Linked DNA regions of Oryzias latipes. The protein of the gene in region 2 interacts with the protein of the main gene of each other region in a biochemical or structural test. Links are inferred from orthologs where the notes say so. Each region holds a gene or a part of one and is shown on either strand. Other genes may lie near its edges.

Region 1 (7,579 bases), on a different chromosome or scaffold from region 2:
CAGGGAATCGGATTATTCAAAATGAACGAATATTGACCATGAATTGTATGGTCAACTAGAAATTGTGATATGAATCGAATCATTGTTAAAACAAATCATTACTCCCCTATCACTAACTGATGTTCCTTTACATTGTCAAATGAGGGCAGTGTTTCCCTTTCTGACCAAATATGGAGTAAGAAGATCCAGCTCAGGCTGCACTGTGGAACAGTGGTTAGCACTCTTGCCTCATGGCAAGAAGGCTCTGGCTTGAATCCCAGCTGGATCCTTTATGTGTGTAGTTAGCATATTCCCCTCATGCATGTATGGGTTTTCTCCGTGCAGTCCAGCTTCCTCCCACAGTCCAAAAACATGCTTCATAGGTTATTTGATTACTCTAAATGTTAACCCTAGGTTCTAGGATGTTTCTGAGGTAAAAACATGCAATGACTGGACCACCTACAATAACCAAATTGATATTGCACTGACTGGTGATGCCTGCTTAACCCTTGCGCTATCTTAGATGACCCCACCCTTACATTGACGTGTTCTCCCAACCATGACAAAGGTGGATAAAGGTTGAAAGATTTCATGTAATCCATGGACACCAGTGAAGATCACAAATCATTAAAGAAAAAAGATTTAGCGCACTGTATAGTGGGTCTACATGACCCAACTCCCAATGTTAAAGTGCCTAGGATAGCACAAGGGTTACAGGTGCAATTGCATAAGGCTCCATAAACTTTAGCAGCAAAAAAACAGCCTATGGTGGCCTCCACAGCAGAATAAACAGCTGTCATTCACTCTACAGTAAATGTTGCAATAGAAACATTTTATTTCATTAGTAAAGGTCAGGTTTGAGAGTAAAACTGTTTTTCGCTTTCATGGATTTTTGAAAAGCATGCCGGGATCAAGTGACGTAAATAGTATATGAGGGTAATTTACATAGCGGTTTGCTACCTTCTAAGAAGCCCTTTACAGTCAGAGACCCATTCACAAACTGATAGCAGCTCTGCTGCTGAACTCTGGCGCCAACATATAACCTCCGGGGAGCAATGTGGGTTTCAGTGGTGACAAGGACACTTCAACACATCGCCAAGCAGAGCGGAAACTGAACCAGCGACCTTCCACTCATATGTCGACCACTCTACCACTCCACATTTTGTTTCCACAAAATGCATTAAGCTCAAAATCAAGATTTAACCTAATTATTGAGCAGTAGTTTAATTTAGTCTATACTTCAGAAACATTGTTTTTGATCACAGTTCTGCCACTTTTAGTTGATAGAAATATACTAATGTAGTAGTTTATTTTTATTTTGTTATTTTTTTCCTAGGAAGCATGAAGCAGAATGTACTTTGCTTTATTATACAAAGGTCATAGAAAAAGATACCATAATAATGTAAGCAAGCAGAACAGTACATCTTAGAAGATTAAAAAAAAAAAAGTCTATAAAAAATTATTTTATTGTTGAAAGAATACATTTCTGTAGAACAGACAATAAATGCATATCACAATAAGGTGGTTGGTTTTTTCCAAAGATGTCCCAAATTCCTGATGGAAATATATTATGTTGTAAAAGAACTAGAATGGAAACTGCAATGTAAGCCTAGACACCCAAGTGCCTCACAGAGATTCAAGTTTATTGTCTTTGACATGGTTTTTAGAAGATCTTGACTAAGCAGCACCTACATCTAAAAAAGGAAAAGAAAACTACAAAAGTTAAATCCCCCATCTTTGGTTCTATGAAACAAAAATGTGTAGGTGCTGCTAATTATCAATACTGTGGGTGTTTAAAGGAAAAGAAGTGCCTGGATGATCTAAAAATTAAACAATAATGCCTTTTAAGTTCTCTATGTAGCAAACAGCAGTACATGGGCATTAGCGTCCTGCCATTAGCCTATGCTCTCTAAATCTAACCCTACACAGTACACAGGCAGACGCTGATGCACAGATACCAACACACATGCTGCATGAATTCACTTTGACAAATAAACCGAGAAGGGAGAAAGATGCAGAAAGCAGATGCTTGGAAATTCCTGAACAGAAATTCTGAACATGTTTGAGCTCCAAGGATGAGTTGAACAGATCTTCTAATGCCGTATCAGAAGGAGCAAAGATCTGCTGTGAATTTATCTGTCACAAAGTCTGCTCTTTGAACGTGCTCTCAACACGTAAAGAAAAATCTATAAATTAACAATGAACATAAAAGTGAAAAAAAAAACCCAGGGGAATATAAATTTAATGAAAAACTTCGCAAACAGCCTTTCCATTTTTACCATTTTCCGGTAAAAACGCTTCTTTGAATGTGCATGTGGGGCCGTTTCTCCCCTCGCATCCCTTTCTTTAGCTTTCTAAATTTCAAGTACACAAACATGTTTTAAGTCCCTGTTCATGGCAAAACTGAGATTTGTGTACCAAAACTTTCCTAACGTTAAATTCAAACACAGTAAAGTGGGTCGCGGGGGGGGGTCACATTTCGTCCTCTTCGTCTTCATCCTGAGAAGAGCCCGCCTGCTGGGCAACGCTTGCAGATGCTGCTGCCATCTGTGCCTGCTGGGCAGCCTGCTGCATCTGCAGCCACTCCTGCTGTTCAAGCTCCGCCTGCTGCTGCCGCGCCTGCAGAAGACGCACATTCTATCATGAGTGCTTGACACAATGTGGCACTTCAGGTTTACCCATTCAAGCTCATGGCAACCTGCAGTGAGTCCGGCCGGTTACTGCAGAAATAATAGTTTTTGGTAATTTTTTAAATATATACCGTACATGTAACTTCTCAAAAAGGTTTATCTTGTGTTGTTGGATATTTATTAAATGAATATCAAATACAACGCAGCAAATCAAACAAAGCAATACATAGGAACAAAATGTTTTTTTTAAAGGAATGTGAACAAAATACATCTCTCTGACCTTAAAGACCCACTCAAATAAAAATCATGCTTTTGGTGTTTTTAACATGTTCTTGTAGCATTTTTCTAGCTTACAGCCCCTCAAACCCCCAACCTAACTTTACCAGTGCGACAAAAATGATAAGCAATATTGGATTTCCAGCTGTATAGCTGAGTCGGAAGCCTGTTAAGACGAGGAAAAAGACGTACATGGATGCATTTGTCTGCAAGAGGATGTATCAGAATGGAGCAGAGAGGGAAGCTTGTGGCCCGCCGATTGTAGCTTTTTCCACACAGCATTTTGTCGTTTGCTCCTGACTCAGAACTATTTGAATGAAGAAATGCTCAGAAATGTAATATGAAGCTTGTTTTTCTTATGATACGTCTTCCATCATCAGAAAAATGCCACAAGAAGATTTTAGAAAACACCAAAAACATGATATTTTATTTGAGTGGGTCTTTAAAGTAAAAAACCTTTAGCAAAAACACACCATGGCCTGTCAGTTAAAGCTGAAAGGGCCACATTAACTTACTTTGAATGAGCAGAGAGTGCTTTGTTTCAGGACAATCAGCATAACTCAAAGAGGAAGTTACATTCAGGTTGATTTAAATGTGTATGCCTATATGATATTTGAAATTGTTTTGTGTGTACATGTCTTCATTTCTACAATACTTGACAGGAAAAGATTTTTTTTCATCTTAAATACTTCCTCTATGAGCTTAGTTAAGTATTTTCTATTAAAACACCTAAATTTGTTTGCATCCAATCTTAAAGGGGATTGATATCCTTAAATGGAATGACCAGTTTAGAAACTTTTGAAAATGTTAACAAAACCAAGCCCTTCTGTACCTCAAATGAAAAGTACAAGTTGTGTGCCCGTGTTCATCATGATCTGTAGGTTAATATTATTGTGGGTGTTCAAGCCACATTTGAAGGTGCAGTTTTCTGAGATCAGACCTTGGCAAATAACTCCTGCTGCTGCCTCAAGAGTTCCTCCTCCGGAATGCCCAGGTTTTCCAGTCGAGAGCTGGCCTTCCTCCTCTTAAGAGCAACCGTTTTGCACTCCTGCAGCACGTCTTTCACCTCTGTGATGTACGAGCCGAAACCAAGGCTCTCGAGGGCTGTGGTGCAGAAACACGAGGTTGAAACTACACTTTCTATGATGTGAAGCTTGCAGGAGGATCCGTGCTCCTTTGCATCCCCCCCCCCCCCACACACACACACACACCCACCCACATAAAGGACGAGCGATATTTAAAGAGGTGGTAAATACATGTAAATGAGAACCAACCGTTAATGACATGCTCTGGAGATATGGTCTTCTTGTCGGATTTGTTACAGATCTCATTCGCCTCGGAGGAAATAAGATGGATGAACTCTGTGCAGCAATTGACCACAAGCTCCCTGGCATCGTTGGCCACCCGTACGTTAGGCAAAGTTTCTTTGATCATTTTGTTGATAGCTGCTCTCGGTATGGTGAGGTCGTCGTCATTTCCAGACGAGGAAGCCATAGTGATGAAAAAAGGGGGGAAAGGAACAGAATAGTGGAACTCCGCTTCTTCGAGAAGATTTATCACGCGTTCACTGTCTTCTCTATGTCCATGTTACAGTAGACAGATAACGGTTCAAGAAAATATCGATGGAAATGTTGCCAAGCGAGCTAGTCTAAGTTAGCCCACTGGCTAGCTTACCAACCAAATGTCAAACAATGAGCAGGTTCTGTTGCTTGAGCGGCGCTCCTATATCGTATTTAATCGGCGAATAAATGTCCAAGATTGCTCTGAAGCTTACAGTAAAAAAAGGGAGGGGGAAGAAAAATTATATCCTTATATCCGTCGTCCGTGGCGAAACTGAGACGCAGCACACAAGTCCAATGAAAGCGGAGAGCATGGCTAAGCTAAGCTAACAATTAAGCGCAGATGAAGCGGAGCTGTTTGCTTTACGAAGCGCAAGAATTATAGTCAGTTCTACTCGTAAATAATTGGAGTATTTATATGTAAGTCCTGAACTTGACCAAAATTTGATTGCAGATGTTTTGTTTAGGTTTATAATTTGGAGTTGTGTACTGTACAAACATTAGCTGAAATGTGTCCGGTTACGACGTCAGACAAAGGGCGTTTTTGATTGGCTCCGAGTGTGCGCTATAACAATTTCCGGTGCCCACCAGGATGGAGTCGGGTGGTACAACAAATGATTGGAAATTGTTCCGCAGGGAGCTACAGATGTAATTATCTTTTTTTTCTTTCGTTACAAAACCAAACTATTATCTCTGATTTTTCTAAGATTGCCTACTTTTGGAAATATATTTATTTTAAATGAAGAAAAAAAAAGTATGTATCTACAAATGCATTGTTTTTAGCAGTTGTAACATTAATATTAAGAATAATTTGATTCATATAATTTGTGGTTGCTGATATGATTCATAGTTAATTTTAGATCATAGTGAACCAGTAAATTTATTACGATTCACTGACCTTATTTTGATCCAGAACATCTTCAGCCAAATATTCAACCAATGTGGCTCAGAGATAAATACCTGGGTACTAACAGTGCAAGGTGAAGTTTTTCCACATTCCTTGTATTTCTTTCAAGATAATCAAGTGTAAATTAAATATGTGTACAAACAAGCCAGTAATCAAGTACCAATGTCAAATCCATTCACATTTTAGTTTCATAAAGTTTTGCCTACTGTTGTTTTTCCACATAAAAAATAATACAAATGGAACATTATCAGAACATTCTACCACACTGTTTGGTCACGTCTTTGCTAAATCAAAAGTGTTTTGCTGTCATCTCGTGTGTGTGTGTGTTGTCCACTGTGATGCACGTGGTCATTTTTAAGTTACAGTAAAATAAACCTACAATGCCTCAATCCAAATGGTATTTTTCAGTAAAGATTATAGTCAATTTAATTTTGAAATGATCTTATGGTATTTATCGATTTGATTAACAACTTGTCTCAGACTTTGATCTGGATAAATAAATTAATTAAGTGTTACATCCCTACTATTCTTTGTTTTATCTGACTTAGAGTTGCCCCGTTGCCATGTGTGAACATTTTGTTTTTAAGTTATATTTACACTTCCAAAAAGTGTAAATATACATTAAATCAAGTTCTACCTGTAGAACTTGATCTAATGTAATTTCTAAAGACAAACATTTCAAAATGCCAAACAGTAGTTTCTCTCACAATGATCTTTATTTAGTGGCATAGAAAAATTAATAAAGAAATAGAACTTCCTTTGAAATTATGATAAATATTGTTGTTAGTGTTAGTTAATTCGTTTAAATAATAATTTTGGATTTTTTAACAGAAGCTAGCCAGCTTATTGAGAGCAACAGAAAAATATAACTGGGAACAATTTTACAATAGATCAAAAGATGGTAGAAGTGGGATTTAAACATGTTTAAAGTGAATTTTAATTAACACAGTGGAATTCGCCACTGTGTTAACTGTTTAAGCAGTTCTCATGCATCAAAATTTACACACTTCTCAAACCTTTTTTATTTAAGATTGCCTTCAAATACATATACTCTCTCAATTCAAATACTACTTCTGTAGAAGGCTTTTCAAAATGTAATTTTAAATTCTGAACCACTGATGTATTTTGCATTTGAAATTAAAATCCTGAAACACTCAGTTCTTGTCTTTTTCCAGGGTGAAACTCTTGCGACTTCTCCAGCGCAGAAGTTTGAGGAAGTTAAGGCTAGCGTTGAAGACTTTGTCGTGCTCAAACACCATCTTGTAAAATGTGTCAATTGGAAGGTCACCATTGGGGTCGGCATATTTGAGTGTTGTCATGGGGGTGTAAAGTGTGTTTGTCTGATGGCGAAAAGGCGGGTTCTCCATGGTGATGATCTTTAGTGTGTGCTGAGAAGAAAACACACAGCAAAAAAATCAACAACACTAAAACAAAAGAGAACTTTGCTTCAGAATGTCAAAACACATGACATAACTGACACACGAGCATGTTTGGGGGGCTGTGTACCTCTGCGATGTCTTCAGCACTTTGTCCAAGGGTTTCAAAGATTTGCTTGTAGTTCTTCAGGTAGATGTTTGTGAACATATCAGCAGTTGGTTTGTCAGCTTTGCTGAGATCGATCTTCACACCTTCGTCATAGACCTTTCGTTCAAATTCTGTCAGCACCGGGCCTGGTTCAATCAAACTGATGCTAAAAACATAGTTCACAGTTTTAATTACAATTGCTTGGATTCTGGTAAAAAAAAAAAGGGGTTGAAATTTGGTTTTCTTTTGTAACTAGGCATTTTAAATTATGTGTAAACTGGAAACTGTTTTTTGTAATTTGGAAAGGGGTTTAGGAAAACCTGGTGTCTTGTCGTTTCACTGTTATACATATTTAGCAATATTTGCCTAGACAAAATTGATGATGTTTCTCTATTGGTAATAAAAAAAAACCTAACAATGGTCACTTAAAATTAACTAAAGAGCCCAACACAACCTCCATAGATATTAAAGGTGAACCCAAAGTACATCAATGTAAACAGTGTCTATTAAAAGACAGTTACTAACAATTTTGTCCTTGTGTGTTTGAGTATCTTACTTGAGATTAAATCTCAAGGCTTGTATAGCCAGGCTCTCACAAAAACCTTCCACTGCAAACTTGGATGCTGCGTAGACGTCGTTGAACAAAATCCCTAAAACAGAGAACATCACAGGTCAGAGAGTCACAGACAAATGATCAACTAGGC
Region 2 (7,609 bases):
GTTGTTCCAATCACAACAAATGAGTGCAAATCAAATTCTGCTGGAATTACAGATTGATTTCTTTGCAAAAAAGCAAAATGAAAGAAGATCAAAACATCTGCAAATGTCTCTCCGCTGCCCGTCTGGACTGGACTATGTCAGTTCCAGGTTGGTGACTTTGTTGAAGATGTGGGAACGCCGGGGGACGCACTCCAGGTCAAACCTGCTCTCATAAATGGTGGGGCTAAGTTCCCAGCGGTTCCTTCGGTAGATTCCCAGGTAGGTGTAAACGTCGGGTTTGTAGAACAGCGGGCACTTGATCCCCGTGGAGCGAATGACGGAGTCCAGCCTCATGACGTCCTCCTCGTCTGTGAAGTTTCTGTTATAGACACATATGACGTGGCGACTGTCTCCTGTCGGGTCCAAGGGGCTGACTTTGGCGCACCAGATCTTGCCCTCTACGATTGCTCTGGCCACACACTCCCACGCGTGGTCCAGTTTAAAGCCAGAGTCCAGGTGCATCAGCCACTTCCCACTGAGCACTCTGTGGTTGAGGGCCAGCTCCTTCACGGTCTGGAAGGTGACAGGTCTGCCACTGGCCAGGAGTTTCTCCCAGCTCTCCCAGAGACCTTCAAGGTCCTTGTCACTGGACTGGTCACTAGGGCCCCTCACAGAGATCCACCCCACGGGGCCGACGCCACTCTCCTCGTCACCAAACCTGCGCACTTGGGAGGGCCGGTTACTCTCCAGCCAGGCATCAAACTCCGATTTGGGAGTTTTTCTGCAGTCAAAAATAATCCAGGGATCCATGTCTCCAGCCAGGGCTTCGGCGGCATAGTGATCTGATGCAAAGTTCTCCCTTTCACCGTTGGCAGAGGCCTCTTCTTCCTCCATGATGCCGTGAAGGTGAGACTGGAACCGAGCAAGGAGTGTGGAGCTCCCTGCTGAAAGAAAGCAGGAGTTGTGTTCATGACGGCACGAGTGAGGGAGACTTACGCAACACAGAGGCTGAACTTTGGAGCAGCATCTTAAGGCCGTGTCACACACCCACTACGTTCCTTTTGTACATATTGCACAGATAAAAATGACCACACAAGGAAAAAGTGAGAAAAGTCGTGGTCTTTACGTGAAATTTTCAGAGCTTTATCACGATGAACCACATTAAAACCACGGAAGAAGTAAAAATGAACCAAGCAAAGAACACGATTTGTGCCTAAATTACGTAATCTTACTGTGATATATGCTGTAGATATAGTATTAAAGTTGTAAATTCATTGGTGTTGCATGCGTGAAAAATCTATTAGACACACGTGCAGCTTTTATAACCTCCTGGTGTTCTACGTTCCTCACTGTATGACATCTCTTGAAAGAAAAAAGTCAAAAATCAACAACTAAAACACAAATGTGAGTCTCGCCCAACCACAGAGGAAGTTTGACCTGTGGACCCACCCAGATGAATACAGTGTTTTTTTTAATGTTTTTACTGCTGATGGAGGAGATTTATAATAAAACATAGACGTAAACATTTATTTTTGAGGATTTCTTACTTCAAATTGTTGTGAATGAGAAAAGCATTAAAGGTAAAGATGGAAACAATGCGGCGACCCCTGAAGGGAAATGCAGAAAGGTGAACAATAAGGATCAGGTGTGTTATAGCAGAGGCGTCCTGGTAATGCTTTAGGGGAACACGGTCCATCGACCATCCACGATTGAATCACGGCAATCTCTTTTCATACACCTTTTACTCAACAGAGTCCTTGAATGATTTCTCAGCATAAACTCAAAAACACCAAATGACTGGATGTTGCTCATCTTTTGTAAATCTGAAACCCCTTCCAGAGCAAAACGTTGCACAAGGATAAGTCTCTCCAGTCAACAGGAGCCGATCAATCTTTACGACGATGCAGGGCGGGTCGCTCCTGAACCGCTGGATAACACAGATTTATCTGTAAGACATGTACGGCTGATAAAACAGATTCAGGGGGGGTCAATAAAAAAACGTTTTCTGTCTTTACATCGTCCATACCACACGCCTGAATATTTGAAATCCTTCGTGACTGACTACTAAGTTTATGGGAAAAAAACTGTTAAGGAATCATTTACATGTTTAAAAAGATGAAAAAATAAATGAATAATGCAGGCGTTTTATTTGTTTCTAAACCAGTAATAAAATCAGAGACATGACGTGTTCTAGATGTGACCGTTCACCCCTCAGTGGCATGGTTCCAGGCTGTTCTGCCTTATGAATCTGGATGATAATCTCTTTATATGTCCACCAGACCAAATCTTGAATTTCTCTTTGTTGCTTTTTTACCCACAACTGTGTAATATTAAACCCTTGGGCCACAAAGGGGTCTAAGATTTGGCAGAAAGGCCGGACCGGGAGCTGTTGTACAGAGTGTTTTGGTATCACAACTCATGAGATGAAGAAATAACGTGGAATCTTGACAAAAACATCTGTAGCTTTTGATAGAAAATTGACATACATGTAGAACATTTTGGTGTCTTTATTTCAAAACTGTGGCTTTTCTTCCCATTTTAGAGCCATTTGCACCAATGGATTGATGTTCCTTTAGGGAAAAAGTAAATTAGAGTAACGCTGCGTTCAAGTGGAATTGGAATGATAGAAAAATGCTTCCCAGAAAAACAACATATATTCCAAAACCACATGCAATGCAAAATGAGCTTCTGCATCTGAGCAACAGCCCATTTATTTGTAGAGAACCATCTATGGGGAGGCACCAGAATTACAGGGAAAAGCAGGAAACTGGTTTGAGGCTGCATTTATCTTTTTTCTTTCTTTTTATGTCTGTCCACTTGTCCATTACATTATTTTCTAATTTTGTTTTGTTTTTTTGTTTTTGATGTTTGTATGAATATTTTTCGTTGTTTTTTTGTTTTTAAATTCTTAGTTAATTTTGGATTTTTAAGGGCTATCACCTCTGAAGGGGGATTCATAGCATTTAGGGGAGGACATTACCCCCCTTGCCCATGCCTGTATACGGCCTCGATTCACCGCTGTAATAAAAAGATACACCTGGAGAGGCTGGTTTGACATTGAACAGTTTTAAGTGTATCACAACCTTTCTTCTTAATGAAAACATGACTGGACTTTATTTTTTGTTTCTTAAAAAATGTTCCATTAAAGTATTATGTAGTAGTATTAGTTTTTTGTGGCTTTTCAGGACACTATTTTTTTTTCCAGTGATTTGCTGTTGTGTTTCAGTATTTGTTCATTTTTACTGGGATTTGTTGTTGTTGTATCTGGCACTTCTCGGCCACCGTATTTTTTCTCTACACACTAATGAAATCTGAGAGTAGCGCAGCAAGTGCCAACATGACCGGCGCTAGGACCTGGCAAAAGCAAACGGATCCCTTCAGCTCCTCAAGCAACGAGGAACGAGATGACGACAGCGCGCTAACAACTTAGCCGGATAGCTAACGCTATCTGGTGTACGTGCGGTGGAGGTGAATTCACATGAAATAGCAGTATAACCCCAAACATTTAACATTTTATTTTAGCTCAGTCACCAGGTTATTTAATTATGCCGAGCAAAAAGAAGAAGTACAACGCCAGATTCCCTCCGGTGAGTATAACCGTAAACTATCGGGTGTTGGGAGTCGCTAGCATTAGCAGACTGAGTGGGATTTGGCCTCTTTTGTTGCCAAGAGAATTAACAAGCTAAAGCAAGACTTTTCTAATGCAATTCGTTCTCCATCACCGAGATATTGTCCGTGTAAATAAAGCAGGTAACTAACTAATTCACGAGTCGTTCCCCGAGCAGTTTAGGCTGTGCGCCCTGTTGTTTTTAGCCTGTTATGCTAATCCTAATCTGGTATTATAGCTGTATAAACGGACAGTGATGGATCACAGCGCTGTCACGGCACGGCGCCCTTTAAATGTCACGTTTCTGCACCATCTAAATGAAGTTCTGGTTTGGTGTTTGTGGGATTTAGCTGATAAAGTCACACCATTATACCGATGGATGTTAATATTAGACAATAAATATTGGGATTCAGATGATAATAAACGAATCTGGGTGTAAAATTACAATAACCAGAACACGGGCTTTGATTTTAGAGATTTTGATTTTAATGTAAAGAGTCTCAGCAAGAGTGGATTAAACATAAAACTGGAATATTGAAAGACAACGCAATGTACAGAGGATCTCACTAAAGTGAGTACACCCCTCACTGTTTTCATTGGACACAAGACTTTTCGACACAATAAAATGTAGTCCGTGTTCATCTTTTATAGTAGTGAAAATTTTTTTCTTAAAAAATGACTATTAATATAGCCAAACCCCTGGCAACAAAAATGAATTTGGCATTTTCCTTCTCCGATATCATGTGACTCTTTACTGTTACAATGTCTCAGGTGTCAATAGATAGCAGGTGTGTTAAATATAGCATTAAAGCTCTTACACTCTCTCAAACTGATCACTGGAAGTTAAACATGGCTCCTCATGGCAAACCACTCACTGAAAAGAAAAAAAAGAATTGTCGGTTAACGTAAAGATGGCCTAGAAGGTTACCAACGGAAACGGTGCCCCCAAGACCATCCAGCGGTTTAAAAAAGACAGCTTTGACTCAGAACAGGTCTCGCTGTCGTCGGTCAAAGAAGTTCGTCGCACATTCACAGCATCACATCCAAAGCTGACCTTTGACACACATATGTATGAGAGCGTCGAGCTTTGCTGCAGGGGTGAGCCTGTCAGTGCTCAGACTATACGCCACAAACTGGTCTGCATGGCTGTTGTCCCACAAGAAAGACTTTTCTAAACGCGATGCACAAAAAGGCCCAGAAGTCAAGCAGACTAAGGAATGGATTACATGTTCTGTGGTCTGATGAGACCAAGATAAACCTGGTTCAGATGGCGTCAACCAGGTGAGGAGGACAAAGACAAGGGTGTCTTGCCTACAGTCAAGCACGGCGTTGGTCGAGTCATGGTGTGGGACTGCATGACAATTGGGGGGGGGGGGGGGGGTACAGAACCCCCAGCTTCTTCTCCTTTTTTTACATACTTTTGATGATTTTTACACAATAATTCTACAATGAGCATCAAGCTGTTCATAAAACTAAGTAACTTTTTACTGTAAAACCCACAAAAATTGAGATATAACAGTTTTTATATGTTTTAGAACAAAGATCAAATATGTGTAGATAAAATTAAAAGGCATAAATCCAAAAACAAAGCAAAGGTCAAAACAATGAGAAAACAGGCAAAGCTCCACTCAAAGCACTAAGGGGTATCACAATTACAGTATGTGTCATAACTCTTGTTATGTTATTTTAAACTAAAAATGTTAAAGCTAATAACCTTTTGAAACCTTCAGGTTTGATTTTGAATAGAAACGATGCAGATGAGGGTGTCGGATTTATAACTGTGTCATTGTGGCTGACAAACTCAACTGTGGGTCTGCAGAGGGCTAATTTGTTTCAATATTCCTTTTGCTTTCTCTACTTTTCATGGTTAGACTGTCACCTCTTTGGATAAACTGCCTCAGATTGGGCGTTTTTTTCTTTTGTTAAACATGTCGTCCTCTCATGTCCTCACGTAACACCAGACTGTTGTCTTTTCAGGCAAGGATCAAGAAGATTATGCAAACAGATGAGGAGATAGGAAAAGTGGCTGCAGCGGTTCCTGTCATCATATGTATCCTTTGCAAACGTGTTGGAACGTCACAGGGCCTTGTGGGATTTTTGCATGTGTGCAAACCTTTTGAACCGCTGCCCGTGTTTGCAGACAGAGCACACGCATGTGTGTCGCACTAATCAGCTTCATCTCAAGGGCAGCGGTCAGCAGATTTGTGCATCTCTGCAGGTTTGGTTCTGGTTTTTGACGCTTCAGGAGGAAGCGGTCTGTGCAGACGTTTTGTGCAAACACGGGTGAGTTATTATGTTCTTAATCAAAGCATCAGCCAGAGCTCTGGAGCTGTTCCTGGAGTCTTTGCTCACAAAAGCCTGTCAAGTCACGCAGTCGAGGAACGCAAAGACCATGACGATGTCCCACCTGTAAGTTTCTGAAAGAATCCGCTCTCCAAGAACACGTGAAAATGGCTTTAGCAGATGAAAGATTTTGGAGGATGTGTGCCAGTTACATCCATGTTGCAGTAAGGAAAAAAAACAAAACAATGGAAAGGCATTTCGTTGTTGTTCCGCTCAGTCTGCTGGATGGGAATGACTGGAATGGATGTGTGTTTTTTTTTCACTCCAGAAAACAGTGCATCGAGTTGGAGCAGCAGTTCGATTTCCTAAAGGACCTGGTAGCAACGGTACCGGACATGCAGGGCGAAGGGGAGGACAACCACATCGAAGGCGGAGGGGAAAAAGTCCAGCGCAGGTATCTCTGTCCCACAGGTGGACGTGGAGAACAGAATGAAATGAGGCCTAGCAGCTGCCTATGTGATCACGTATGTGTCACGCTACAGAATAACCTGGTCTGTGTTTGAGCAATGAAAATGTGCTCATGGTCTTCTCTTGTCCTGAATTAGTCAGAAGGCCTCTTGTTTCACCTGGCGACCTTAAAGGGCCTATAACATGATTTGCTGAGGCTTTTCAGAGTAAACTATGTCCATATACGGTGGGGCAAAAAAAGCATTTAGTCAGCCACCAATTGTGGAAGTTCTCCTACTTGATGAAGGAGGCCTGTAGCTTCATCATAGTCATAGGTATACCTCAACTATGAGAGACTAAATAAAAGAAGAAAATCACATTGTCTGAATTTTAAGGAATTTACTAGTAAATTATGGCGGAAAATAAGTATATGGTCACCCACAAACAAGCAAGATTTCTGTCTGTCACAGACATCTAACTTCTTCTGTAGAGGATCCTCTGTCCTCCACTGGTAACCTGTATTAATGTCACCTGTTTGAACTGGTTATCTATAGAAAAGACACCTGTCCACAACCTCAAACAGTCACACCCCAACCTTAACTATGGTCAAGACCAAAGAGCTGTCTAAGGACACCAGAAACCAAACTGTTGACCTGCACCAGGCTGGGAAGACTGAATCTGAACAGGTAAGCAGCTTGGTGTGAGGAAATGAACTGTGGGAGCAATTATTAGGAAATAGGAGACACACAAGACCACTGATGATCTCCCTCCATCTGGGGTTCCTGTCAACATCTCACTCCGTGGATCAGAATGATCACAAGAACGCTGAGCAAAAACCCCAGAACCACACGGGGGACCTAGTGAACGACCTGCAGAGAGCTGGGACCAAAGTAACAAAGACTACCATCAGTAACACACGACGCCACCAGGGACTCAAACCCTGCAGGGCCAGACGTGTCCCGCTGCTAAAGCCAGTACATGTGCAGACCCGTCTAAAGTTAGCTAGAGAGCATTTGGATGATCCAGAAGAGGATTGGGAGAATGTCCTATGGTCAGATGAAACCACAATAGAACTTTTTGGTAAGAACTCTACTCGTCGTGTTTGGAGGAGAAAGAATGCTGAGTTGCATTCAAGAATTTTTTAAAATTTCCTTAGGGATTATTAAAGACCAATTCTATTCTATTCTAAGAACACCATCCCTACTGTAAAGCATGGGGGTGGAAGCATCATGCTTTGGGGCTGTTTTTCAGCAAAGGGTCCAGGATAACTGATCTGTGTCAAAGAAAGAATAA

The links. The genes of interacting proteins can lie anywhere in the genome.
Region 1: the proteins of drap1 (region 2) and dr1 form a complex in vitro, tested with the Homo sapiens proteins (2 studies listed by BioGRID). The link is inferred for Oryzias latipes from reciprocal best matches to the Homo sapiens genes DRAP1 and DR1.

The regions. Positions count from the first base shown.
Region 1 is NC_019862.2:24,026,653-24,034,231, forward strand, and holds dr1 (protein Dr1), read right to left. Parts: upstream 4,998-7,579; 5' UTR 4,380-4,997; coding exon 4,160-4,379; intron 3,990-4,159; coding exon 3,826-3,989; intron 2,599-3,825; coding exon 2,452-2,598; 3' UTR 1,327-2,451; downstream 1-1,326. Other genes in the region: retinol dehydrogenase 8-like, read right to left, coding at 6,506-6,739, 6,858-7,041, 7,432-7,525. UniProt on the Homo sapiens protein: The association of the DR1/DRAP1 heterodimer with TBP results in a functional repression of both activated and basal transcription of class II genes.
Region 2 is NC_019876.2:27,234,696-27,242,304, forward strand, and holds the start of drap1 (dr1-associated corepressor), read left to right. Parts: upstream 1-3,314; 5' UTR 3,315-3,524; coding exon 3,525-3,566; intron 3,567-5,563; coding exon 5,564-5,636; intron 5,637-5,901; coding exon 5,902-5,995; intron 5,996-6,197; coding exon 6,198-6,323; intron 6,324-7,609. Other genes in the region: UPF0696 protein C11orf68 homolog, read right to left, coding at 137-873. UniProt on the Homo sapiens protein: The association of the DR1/DRAP1 heterodimer with TBP results in a functional repression of both activated and basal transcription of class II genes.